3 linked regions of the Mus musculus genome follow. The protein of the gene in region 3 purifies or fractionates together with the protein of the main gene of each other region. This does not show direct contact. Links are inferred from orthologs where the notes say so. Each region holds a gene or a part of one and is shown on either strand. Other genes may lie near its edges.

What was found. The genes of interacting proteins can lie anywhere in the genome.
Region 1: the proteins of Chchd4 (region 3) and Tor1aip1 purify together in Homo sapiens (co-immunoprecipitation; 3 studies listed by BioGRID and IntAct, with this or other methods). This does not show direct contact. The link is inferred for Mus musculus from reciprocal best matches to the Homo sapiens genes CHCHD4 and TOR1AIP1.
Region 2: the proteins of Chchd4 (region 3) and Ssna1 purify together in Homo sapiens (co-immunoprecipitation; 3 studies listed by BioGRID and IntAct, with this or other methods). This does not show direct contact. The link is inferred for Mus musculus from reciprocal best matches to the Homo sapiens genes CHCHD4 and SSNA1.

What each region holds. Positions count from the first base shown.
Region 1 is NC_000067.6:156,033,642-156,037,946, forward strand, and holds the start of Tor1aip1 (torsin-1A-interacting protein 1), read right to left. Parts: upstream 2,840-4,305; 5' UTR 2,595-2,839; coding exon 2,117-2,594; exon of another isoform or gene 2,023-2,116; intron 1,567-2,022; exon of another isoform or gene 1,549-1,566; coding exon of another isoform or gene 1,545-1,548; intron 1,177-1,544; exon of another isoform or gene 1,040-1,176; intron 160-1,039; coding exon 85-159; intron 1-84. UniProt on the Homo sapiens protein: Required for nuclear membrane integrity. Induces TOR1A and TOR1B ATPase activity and is required for their location on the nuclear membrane. Binds to A- and B-type lamins. Possible role in membrane attachment and assembly of the nuclear lamina.
Region 2 is NC_000068.7:25,270,500-25,273,877, forward strand, and holds Ssna1 (Sjoegren syndrome nuclear autoantigen 1 homolog), read right to left. Parts: upstream 1,920-3,378; 5' UTR 1,851-1,919; coding exon 1,799-1,850; intron 1,630-1,798; coding exon 1,430-1,629; intron 1,083-1,429; coding exon 975-1,082; 3' UTR 540-974; downstream 1-539. Other genes in the region: Anapc2 (anaphase-promoting complex subunit 2), read left to right, coding at 2,017-2,178, 2,416-3,038, 3,301-3,378. UniProt on the Homo sapiens protein: Microtubule-binding protein which stabilizes dynamic microtubules by slowing growth and shrinkage at both plus and minus ends and serves as a sensor of microtubule damage, protecting microtubules from the microtubule-severing enzyme SPAST.
Region 3 is NC_000072.6:91,470,598-91,474,833, forward strand, and holds the start of Chchd4 (mitochondrial intermembrane space import and assembly protein 40), read right to left. Parts: upstream 2,827-4,236; 5' UTR 2,741-2,826; coding exon 2,719-2,740; intron 1-2,718. Other genes in the region: Tmem43 (transmembrane protein 43), read left to right, coding at 3,290-3,301.

The DNA.
Region 1 (4,305 bases), on a different chromosome or scaffold from region 3:
ATGCCACCACGCCCAGCTTGAGCTGTGATTCTTCATGAGTCTTTGGCAGGAAAAGAGAAAACCAAAAGACCAAACTCTTCTTACCTGAAGCCTCTGGTGTTCTAAGAGTTTTCTTTGAGGCTGTTTGGCTTGTAACAGGTCGGGAAGAAGGTTCATCCTCTACAGCACCAACAAGAGGTAAAATTCAAGTTAGATGACCTGGGAGAGACCATGGCACACAGTATGCATATTTACCAGTAATCTATACAGAGAGATGCAAGTATTCAACTTCTCTAGGTTCAAAACTTGGGAATTAAACCAGTTAGAAATCCTATTAAGACAGAGTATGATGAGGGCTGGGGAGAGTTCAGTGTTTACGGGCATTTGCTGCTCTTTCCGAGGACTTCCGAAGTCCAAAAGGCTTACGATATTCTGTAGCTTCAGCTCCAAGGGACCCAACACCATCTTCTGGCTTCCAAGGCTACCTGTACTCACGTGCACATACTCACACAGGTACGTGCAGCTGCAAACCATGGAAGTGAAACAACATACAAACCACTACTTGTTGCTTTACGACAAAAATGCTACTTTAGCAAGTTAAAAGGTTAGGCCCTTGGTCCTGTGAAGGCTCTATGCCCCAGTGTAGGGGAATGCCAGGGCCAGGGAGAGGGATTGGATTGGTTGGGGGGGGGGGGGGATATAGGGGAGTTTTCGGAGGGGAAATGAGGAAAGGGGATAACATTTGAAATGTAAATAAAGAAAATATAAAAAATTAAAAGGTAGGTTCAAGAGTCAGGTAAAAGAAATGTTTAAATCCTCTAAAAATGTATAAAAGGTAAACTGAATTTAGGTGCAGGAGGCTCTGTGGGAAAGTCAATAAAAAGTAACAGTTACATTGCCTCCCATGTGCAAACACTGTCTCAGTTTCTGAGACAGAATTAACACAAGTACCTAAATTTCGACCAGGCATACATGCGTGACAGGTTCCTTTTTTTTTCTCCCAACTTTGCCATCTTAAAAGAAATGCTGACATGTATAAGCAAATAAACTGTCTCCTTACATCCAAAAGAGCATGCACATCTCTAGCATAAAGTTTCCCAAATGAACAGATCTTCAAGTGTGTCAGGACTTTAAGGGCAAGTAGGTAAATCTGCAAGCCAGTTTACTGTGCTCTAAGCTTTAAATCCACTCCTGTTCAGATGCATCAAATGTATTAGGGAGGCCATCCCACTGTGACTCTAACCCTCAGAATTTTACCTCATAATTAGGTGACTGACATGGGGCTTACTGGAACCACCTGTGACTCAGTTATATCCGAGTGCAGGGAATAAGAGGATGGCTTGAAGAATTTGGTTCATCTGTGTGACTTAACTAAAACTATAGTACACACCCTGTTGGCATCTGGGGCTTCATATATAAGCTTTACTAATAAATAGAACCTTGTTTTGTTTCAGTAGTTTGTCAGTCTTGACTTGTTTAGCTACTTAAGATTACCGTGATGGCCTCCAATCTGGGGGGAAAGTCTGGCAGAGACCAGACTCTGTATTTGGAGTAATGTCACCAACCCATTCATTAAAGTCAGCTACTCCTCGTAGCATCCGCCTAGAAATGATCTCGTTTTCCCAATCTTGGTGAAAAAAAAAAAAAACGAAAGAAACCGACTGGAAAGTTAACTTAAAAACAGGATTTTCAGCTGGGGACTTGGGGCCCCCGAGATTTAAAAAAAAAAAAAAAAAAAAAAAAAAGGAAATGGAAGTGGCTTCAGTAGAAACTTCAGAGGACGGAAATGAAACCGAGCGCAGAGTAGTTTGGGGCTCCGACAATGGCTTAGCCGCCGACCTCTAGCAAAAGCCTACAGAAAGAGGAGACCTAGACCCCCCAAACTGAAGCTCCAGGACTAGGCAGAGCTGCCCGCCTCCGCTCGGGTCACTTCGCACCACCACCTTCCCGCGCGGCCCACTGCGTCCTTCCCTCTTGAGGGTCCGGGTGGACTCAATCCGGGAGTGCGCGCCCAAAGGGCCGCAGAAATCACCAGGACCCAGGCGGGGCCGGAGCGGGGCCGGCCTCCACGGGGGCGCGCCTGCCGCCGCGTGCCCGCCGCCGCGCGCGCTCCCGAGCCCGCAGCCGAGACTGTTACCTTCGCGGTCCTCACTGGAGGACGGAGAGTCCCGTAACCCTCGGCCGCTCGTGGCCGGAGACAGCTGCGGCTGCTGTGAGTGCTGCTCAAGGCGAGCAGACCTCCGCGTCTTCATCTCCTCGGCTTCCTGGGCTCGCCGCTGCCTCCGTGGTCGAGAGCGAAGGTTGTAAGCGCTTTCTCTCACTTCCTCTCCCGCAGAAGCCGGCCGGAACTTTTCTGGCGGGGTTCGTCTCCCCCCCGGAGACCTTTCTTTGGCCGCCCGGGGCTCGAAGTCGCCGTACACTTCTGCCGGCTCCTCTGAAAACCTCACTTCCCGTCGTCCGCGGCGCGACGGGTGAGCTCCGTACGCAGGCGCGTCACTGCTGTCGCCATTTCGCGGGTCGAGCCTCCGCCTTCCCTCCCGGATGGGGGCTCTGGGTGTGACGTAGATGGCCCAACCTTCTCCGGGCCCCTCGGCCTGCCACCTTTCTCCCGCCATAGTTGTTTACGTAGCTGGTAGTCGGTTCGTGGCGATAGATTGGCCGCAGATAGATTCCGCTGCGGGTAGTGGCGATGGCTTCGGGGAGGTTGTCGCAGTGGTCAGGGAGGCAGTTGAGAGTCGCCGGGGCCGCCGCCTGCGTCCTCGCTCGTGTGCCACCAACCAGCCTCCAGGCCCATGGTGTGTCCTGAGGGCTGTCGGAGAGGCAGTGCCCGAGCTGGGTCAGCTGCTGCGGGTCACTCCCGCCTCCTGGCTGAAGGCACCAAAGAGGAGGAGAAGGGGGAGGAGGACGTCTCTGTCCTTGGCCTTGGAGGGAAAGGTGGGGGCGACCAGGAGGTGGTAGGACAAGTGGCCTGTGCCAAGCTGCTGATGGCCAGTTGCCCACCACCGGGGGCGCTGGTCCTGGCTCCCAGAGGCTTTGGGAAAGGGCAAGTTTCAGTCCTTGATCCCAAGCTGTTGCGCAGTTCCCCTGCTACTTTGGCCACTCCTTTTCAAATGTCCCTGGGAGGAGAAATGATCAGAAAGGCAATTCTGCATGTCATCTTATGGCGAAAATTATAGTTTCATGGACCTTTATGAAATTGCTTTTACCCAGTTTAAAATTTTTATTCACCTGTTGACCCTTTAAAATTGTGTTTAGTTACACTCTTGGGGTGTGTTTCCATTTTTGAGTCGTAGCCATATCAACCATATTCTTGAATTTTCACGTGAATGGTATACCAATAAGCTATACCCTAGCCCTAAAAAAAAAAAAAATCGATTTTGAGTTTTTATTTGGAAGCCACATAACAGTGATTTTGAAAAAAAACTTAAAAGTATTTGCCTTTTTCCAGTATTTTAAATAATGACCTTAAGTTGTTACTCAAACTTAGACAAATTCCCAGTTACTAGAATTTTCACAAATAGTCTATAAATTTGGTCAGCAACACAGATGACTCAAGAGTCATGTTTGGAGCTTCATTTAGCATTGTTTATTAACTACAAAGAAGGGGAGCCATAAGGAGACAGCTGCCCTTTTTTTAAAGATGTGTGTGTGTGTGTGTGTGTGTGTGTAAGTGAGTGAAAGGAGGGAGGGAGGGTGATCTCTGCCTGTCCTGGAACTGTAGACTAGACTGGCCTCAGCCTCACAGAGATCAACCTGCCGCTGCTCCCCAAACGCTAGGATTAAGGGTGTGGGCCACCACACTTGGTAGCACTTTTTTAGAAAACAAAACTTAAGGAAAAACGAAAGTGATACTCATTCGTGGTAGCCTGAAAACTGGGTGTGGCTTTTTTTTTTCTACAAAACGCTGAGAAGTACTGATAACTTGGTAATGTTTGGCTTGTGTCTTTTCCAGTAATGCTTTGTTTGTAAAGTGCCTATTTACACAGTCAACAATCACAAAAATTCTTTAATAGATGTACAGCAGTGAAAGGATATAAATTTTTGTAGTGTTTATATTCTAAGCTCATAAGGCAGTGTGTGCAACAGATGACTAAAGACACCTGGGTGCTGGCTTGTTAAACTCTGGTTTGAAGGATACATGAAAAAGAAAGTGAAGAGGTTCTATACATAATTGGTCAATCAGAGAAAATGAGAGGTTACAAAGATTATTGGATAATTGGCATGTGCTTTGTTTTGTAATTAAAAGTACTTATAAAGTAGTTTTATGAGTGGCTTTTTCAAAGAAAAAATAAGGATGTTAAAGTTTAGAGGCAGTTAACTTCGCAT
Region 2 (3,378 bases), on a different chromosome or scaffold from region 3:
TTGTTGTTTAAGAAAGGGTTTCATACTATGTCCCAGTCTGGTTTACAGTTTACTATGCAGACATGAATGGCCTTGATTTTAAGGCGATCCTTCTTCCTCAACGAAGGATGACAGGTGTAAACTACCACAGCTGTTTTCTGGATCTTTTTGGTCACCAAATACTTCCAAACTTTCCCCAGAAGCTGTGACAAAGGGCTGGGTCATAGGGCACATGGAAATAGTAAGTAAGCAACACATGTGGTTGGAAGATGGGTCCTAACAGCAGCAGCAGCAGATTGGACCAAACAGAACTTACTGTCCCTGTCTCTATCTCTGAGCCAGGTTCTGTATTGAGCACCATCGTAGAGCAAAGCCCCTCACAGAAAAGTGGTTTGTGTTCTGGACTTGGGGAAAACACCAGCACCTTTGCAAAGAGAGTTAAGGGCTAGGGCTGACCTGTGTGAGGTGAGTACTTTCAGCATTTTGTGTTTTGAAGATAAGAAAGGGAAAAACTGCAGGTCTTCTTACCAACAGGATATATGGTAGCTAGCAGACACAGATCTTGCAAAACAACCTTTATTGAAACACCAGAGGCCATGGGGATGGGCCCTAAGGTTTTGGTTCTGGAGTCAAGATTCTTTCTTCAACATGTCTGGCCTGGGGCCCTAGTGGCTGGGGAGACAAAGTGAGGGGCTCCCACAGTACTCAGACCAGGACCAGGACATTCCTGGTAGCCCAAAGGGATTCAGGAGCTTCAGAGAGAGGCCCCTCATGGAGCTGCTCAGGGTCCCCACAGCACATGTGAGTACGGAGCTGGGAACACCTCTTCCATTGGACTGTCCTAGGGCTTTTCTTGTCTAGGCAGGTGGAGGTCAGAAATTGCCCCTCTGGGCACCAGAGATAAAAGACATCTGAGGCCACGAAGAACAAAGATGCTTTAGGACAGACATGTTGAGGACTAAGCAGCCATAGGCCACGGCTGAAACAGGCACTCGTCAGCTGTCCTTGCCTCCACTACTCTTCTGGTCTGAAGCTGTGGCTTTAGTCAGGTTCCCAGCTTCTCTTTTGAGTACACTAAGCAGAGTCTGAGAGCTCTCCAGGATCTGGGGCCAGAGAAATAAAAGGATGTTATTTCTCTGGTAGGAAGGTCCCATTGCCTCAGGCTCTAATAATGGAGGATGGAAATCTCAATTTGGTCATCTGTGCTGTAGCCAACTGGTTATGGAGTAAAACCATCCTCCCTTCTGCACCTGTCCCAGAGCTCTTCCACCCTGCAAAGCCAGGCTGGGTTAATTCAGGCCCACACCGTGTACTCTGTCCAATACACCAATGCTCACTTTTGGAACCCACAGACAGCCCACTGTTCCACCTACAGCCTCTGAACCACAATGGGCCCTACCTAGCCTCAGATGGTAGTAAGGCACTCACAACAGACATCTGAGAGCCCCACCTTGAGGTAGGCGGCCTCGGTTTCTGCGATGGTCCGGTCAAACTCGTTGCGAGAGGCGATCTTGCGCGCCAGGTTCTCGTTGACGCGGGCCAACTTCTCCGTGAGCTGCCTCACCTCATTCTGTAGCCGCTGCTTTTCGTCCTCCTCTTGCTGGATCTGCCGGCACAGCTCCTCTCGCTTCTGACACAACTCCTCGATGCCTAGGGTGGGTGGGAAGACAGAGCTGTGGGTGGGGACTCGTGAGCTTCCGACCCCAACCAGCAATGACAGAGGGGCAGGCCGCAGAGCGGGGCTCGTGAGGCATGTCCACGCAGCCTCCCGAGTGGGTCGGCCGGCCCCGGCCCGCGGCCTTCAGTGCCCGACGCTCACACTTGACCAACTCGTTGTTGTAGTTCTGCAGCGCCGCGCCCTGTTGGGTCATGGTCTGCACCGCGTCCGGAAGCCTCAACCGCCGCCTGCACAGCTAAGTCCGCACCTGCGCACTGCCCACAAAGCGCGCGGGCTGGTGAACGTCACGGCTGCGCCACAGGTCCGCGCTTGCGTCATCACCGTGCGCTCTACTGGGCGGGTCTGTTTTGTGGACAGTGATGGAGGCCGAGGGTGTGGCGGTGGCGGCGGCGGCGGCGGCGGCGGCGGCGGCGGCGACAATTATTGCCTCCGATGACTGCGACTCTAGGCCTGGACAGGAGCTCTTGGTTGCCTGGAATACTGTGAGCACCGGTCTGGTGCCGCCGGCCGCGCTGGGGCTGGTGAGGCCGGGGAAAGGTTGTCGGGCCTGTGCAGATTTCCCGCGACTTTGCATACTTTAGGGGGTCCACCCTTGGGGCCTCACAGCTCCGTGGCCTGCCTGTAGTGGGCTTGCCTCCTTCCTCAGCTACCTGATTTGTTTGGTTCCCTGGCAGCTCTTCGGTTGCTGGGTTTTTCCATGCCCCTCCTCTCCCTTTACCCCTATTCCGCCCCTCTGCTCACGGTTTTCCGTGCTCCAGGCGTCTTCCCGGACCAGCGGTGCAGTCCCACCAAAGGAGGAAGAGCTTCGTGCAGCGGTGGAGGTTCTGAGGGGACACGGTCTGCACTCTGTCCTGGAGGAGTGGTTCGTGGAAGTGCTGCAGAACGACCTTCAAGGCAATATTGCCACGGAGTTCTGGAATGCCATCGCTCTGCGAGAAAACTCTGTCGATGAGCCCCAGTGCCTTGGGCTGCTCCTGGATGCGTTCGGTCTGCTGGAAAGCCGCTTGGATCCCTATCTGCATAGCCTAGAACTCCTAGAGAAATGGACTCGTCTGGGCTTGCTGATGGGCGCTGGAGCTCAGGGGCTTCGGGAGAAAGTTCACACTATGTTGCGGGGAGTCCTGTTTTTTTCCACCCCTAGGACATTCCAGGAGATGGTCCAGCGCCTCTATGGTCGTTTCTTGAGAGTCTATATGCAGAGCAAGAGAAAAGGAGAAGGGGGCACAGACCCGGAACTAGAGGGTGAGCTAGATAGCCGGTATGCCCGCCGCAGGTACTACCGACTTTTGCAGAGTCCTCTGTGCGCAGGATGTGGCAGTGACAAGCAGCAGTGCTGGTGCCGGCAGGCACTGGAGCAGTTCAACCAGCTGAGCCAGGTCCTGTGAGTACTGCTTCCTAACCATGCTGCGGTTTCTCTGCAAGCTTCATTAGTCCTGAATTCAAAAGACCTCTCAATAGAGCTTATAGACTAACTGGCGATGTCTTTTTTGCCCATACTTGTAACCAGGGATTATTGTTCATCACGTTTATACTGTCCTGGACATAGGCATAGGGTGTGTGTGCAGTATCTTTATGGGGAGAGCCCTCCTAGGTAAGGGACAGATGTGTGTTGTGGGTTCTCCATGAGCGGGGATCTTTTCTAGGCATAGGCTCAGTCTGCTGGAGCGGGTTTGTGCTGAGGCCGTGACAACCACCCTGCATCAGGTGACCCGGGAAAGGAT
Region 3 (4,236 bases):
AGCATGCTCACAAAAGTCCAAGTTTGATCCCTGCACTAAATAAAGGAGGCACAGTAGCCCGCACAAGTCCTAAAAGAGGTAGAGGAAAGATTAGGAACTCAAGACCAAGTGAAACCTGAGGCAAAAGGTGGCTCTAAGAAGCCAGTGTTCATTCTCTCCTGGTCTGAAGACTGGGAAGGGTTTGAGGAAAGAGCATCTGAAATGGTCTTCCAAGCCCTGGCAACCCCTGCAGAACCTCAGTGTCTCAGCACAGTTCCTGCTGTCTGTAACTACCCATCCATCCCGGAGTGCTTTAATGCCAACTTCTTCTTGTTCTGTAAAGATCCAAAGTGCCACCTCACTCAGTGCACATCACACTGCAATAAAAAAAGTTTGCTGAATGAACAGAAAGAGGCAGGCTGTTTATTATTAGGAGGAAAGTAAGGAACCATGTGTGGAATTGACAGAAACACCAAGAGCACAAGGCCAGACTGAGGCTTCATCCACACGGTGGGACTCTCTTAATGTCAATGAGGTCTTTAACCTGGAGACTGACTAGATGTATGGACTGTTGACATAACTGTCCAGGCAACCATTTGCCTAATTAGAATGGTGGATAGGCATGAGCCTGGGGTCACTCTATTAAATCCTGAACACCCACAGTATACTAGGCCTTCTGCCATCTCTCAGCTTGGTGGGAGATAATTTCAGTGTGTTTATAGAGACACAAAGTATCAGGGAAGACCTGGTGGCATTGAAGCTGGGTTTTTTGCTTGTTTTCTTTCTCTTTTAAAAAGATTTATTTATTTATATGAGTACATTGTAGCTGTCTTCAGACACACCAGAAGAGGGCATCAGATTCTATTATAGATGGTTGTGAGCCACCATGCGGTTGCTGGGAATTGAACTCAGGACCTTTGGAAGAGCAGTCAGTGCTTTTAACCACTGAGCCATGTCTCCTGCCCATTTCTCTTGTTTTTTTTTTTTTTTTTTTTTTTTTTTTTTTTTTTTTTTTTCCTGAGACAGGGTTTTCCCTGTAAAATAGCTCTGGCTGTCCTAGAACTCAGAGGACTCCACACACCTCTGCTTTCCAAGTGAGGGATTAAAGGCATGTGCCACCACGCCCGGCTTTGGGCTGGTTCTTAAAGGATAAGTTAGCAATTCAGAGAGCTGGAGGAAGAAAGCACCTGACAAAGGGCACAGCCAGAAGAGCTGAGGAGCAGGAGGAAGAACATGAGACTGGAAGAATAACACCGCATGGTCTCCTAAGTCCTTACATACTATTTTTTGGTTTGTTTTTGGACAGGATCTCACTATGTAGCTCTGGCAGGCCTGGAACATGCAATTTATTTTACACTGGCCTTGAACTCACAGAGACTGTAGGTAGCGGCATGTGTTTTTAATTCCAGAATTTGGGACGAAGAGAAGAATTTGAGTTAGGGGCACATACTGAGACTGTCTCAAAAACGGAGAACCACTAAACACATACACACACACCTTTTGAACCAGGAAGAAGACGGGCTCTATGTTGCATTAGCAGCTGATGGACCCATCCTCCTTCCTGAAAAACCCGAGGTCTGTAAATCCATCAAGAGGGGTAGAAATGTTTATCTGCATAGCCTCCTTAACTCAAAGACTCGTCATCAACCTACCAACTAGGTTGGAGGAAACAAAAGTCATCCTAGGAATCCGCCTAACAGTGCTGGGTCAAGGACTTTCGTATGCGGAACACCAAGTGCTAACCAACAGAAACAGTCCTCGGGAGAGGCACCAATGATGATGCTGGGAAGGAGGGGGTTCTACAGCGGACTGGGGCCTTCTAACTGGATGTATGGCCTTGGGTGGATCACTTCCTCCTTTGTACCTCATGTTCTCTAGACTTAAGAGTAAAGGAGCTGAGAATTCTGGGTGAACCAAGTCTCTCTGTAGCTTTGTATTCTCAAGAGCCCTCCAACTCTTTCCTGCCTTGGGCACGTGCTTCGTGAATACCAGAGTAAATGACGCCTGATCTCTCAATTTACAGGAGTGGAAACTAGGGCCTGGCGGGTTTGGCAGCTCAGACATAAGAAGCCAGTCAGTGCTGGGAGACCTTAGAGCAACAGATTGGTCTGGATTCTTCTGGGTTGCTGCTTACAGGTAACAACAGGTAGTGAGTGGTCCTCAACGTGGCTAGAAATGACGGAAGAAAGGAAGCTCTTTCATAGCGGGTCCCGGTTTCGTGACCTGATGTGGGTTCCTGGATCGAGTAACCTGTCTTAATTTTCCGTTTGATAAGACGTGGACAGTAAGGGAACCCGACATATAAAAATGGCTACGTTAAGTTTAAAAGCGTGCCTAGTACACAGAAGGCGCTCACTAAATGCTCCTGCCAGATGCACTTCAGCACGCCCACTCTAGCCCAAGCGGTAATTTTTCGGGATAGCTAAAAAGCCTGGGCGGGATAGAACCACGTGGGGAGTGCTAGGAGCGACGGTGTCTAATTCCTAACAGTCCCCGATTCCCAGCCAGAGACAACGTGCTCCACACTGGCCAGGCCCACGTGAGGCCCTCCGAGGCCCGGGTTCGGGCTTCACCTTGACCTTGGACCGGCCTCGTTCCTCACGGAGCCTCTGCCTCTCTCGTCTGGAAACCGCCGCGTGAGGCCCACTAAAGGGCCCACAGCCGCTCGGTGGAGACCACTTGATCGCGTGTCTCTCGCAGGCCCGTCCCGGCCGGTCTCCATGGCAGCGCCCGACTCACCTTCCTGCCGGCAGTAGGACATGGTTGTTCCCGACAGTCCTCTGCAGCTCGCAGAGGCAGCGGGCGCGGCTGGAGCGGATACACCTTCTCGCCGTGACCTCCCTCGCCGCTTCTCAGGCCTGGCGGGTGGCACTGAGGCCCGCACAGACCCGCCCCCTCCAGGCCTGCCCGCCGCGCGCCTGCCTCCGCGCGTCCTAAGCACCAGAACCGCTTCTCAGTCGAAAACTACACTGACCAGCAGCCCTTGCGCCTCTCCAACTAGACCGATACTACATTTCCCAGAAATCTTGCAGCGCGCACGCGCACCAGTGAAATACAGTGGTTTGTAATTTTGTGGCGAACGTGTCAGACGTCGGACTACATTTCCCAGCAGCCCTTAAGATGCGCACGCGCAGACAACTTGAGGCTTAGGCAGGGCGGTAACTTTTGTCCTGCGTCCCGCCAGGTCCTGGATTCCACGAGAAGTCTTGCAGCTCTGTGGCAGACAGGAGGTCACCGTATTCTGCGTTCCGGTCGTCAGCCCAATTCCTAGCGGAATAGAGCAAGACGGCGGCAGCGAACCAAGCCCACCATGGCAGCGAACGTAAGTGCTTCCTGATGCCCGGGTGACACCATCATCCGGGCCGCTTTTTCCCTGGATCCGCGCTGGGTCTTACAGGGGTGCTACCCCAGTGGGTGCAGCTGCCCTCAGCTCTCTGAGCTTCTCCATCTCGGGCTGCGCGTTTGTGGGCCTCAGCAATTAGTCGAGTCCGCTCGTGCACGGCTGCTTCTTCCACTCCTAGTTTCTCTCTGGGCCCCTGGGGATACGAAACTTGGGGAACTTGGGGAACTGAAGGACCACGGGGAAAGTGTCTATTGGTGAGCAGACTGATGAGGTGATCCTGCCCAGGTGGAACTGTCCAGCAAATGCTTCTTTGGTCTTCGCTCCCTAGGGGGTGTGTACTCAAAGGCTGTGTGATGCTACTGTAGCTGGACTAGCCTGGCTGGATGACGTGGAGAGGGAGACTTTTCTCTGCTGCCGGGTTCCTGGTGCACTGATTTGGTTAGAGCCCCTAGCTGAGGATAGTTCACCCAGACCTCTGGCCTCTTCCTACTGCAACTAGTCCTTAAGAATTTTCCTAGTGAATCTTAACATTCATTCAACAAACGGAGCAACACCACCTACTAGGGGACTGGGTGTGGGAGAAGCCGGTGAGTCACCAGTGCCTCTGGTGAAAGCGCCTCTGAAGCCATCTCAGGAGCACTGCCAGCCCCAGGCACACCCTTACTCCCTCCTTGGTAGAGTGTCACTACAGCCCTCCTTGGGCCTGTTACACCCTCTTCCCAGGCCCCTCCTCAGTCCGGCAGACTTCACCTCCTGGGAGGCCGGAGTTTGTTTCACCCACTGTGCAAGCAATATCTGTTTGGCATATTGTCTGGCCCTGGCAGGGGAAGAGAACCAAAGGTTAGGAATGCTGCACTGGAGCCAGAGGAGAAGGCAACCAGCAGGCCAGCCTGGCAAGAGCAGGCAGACCCCTT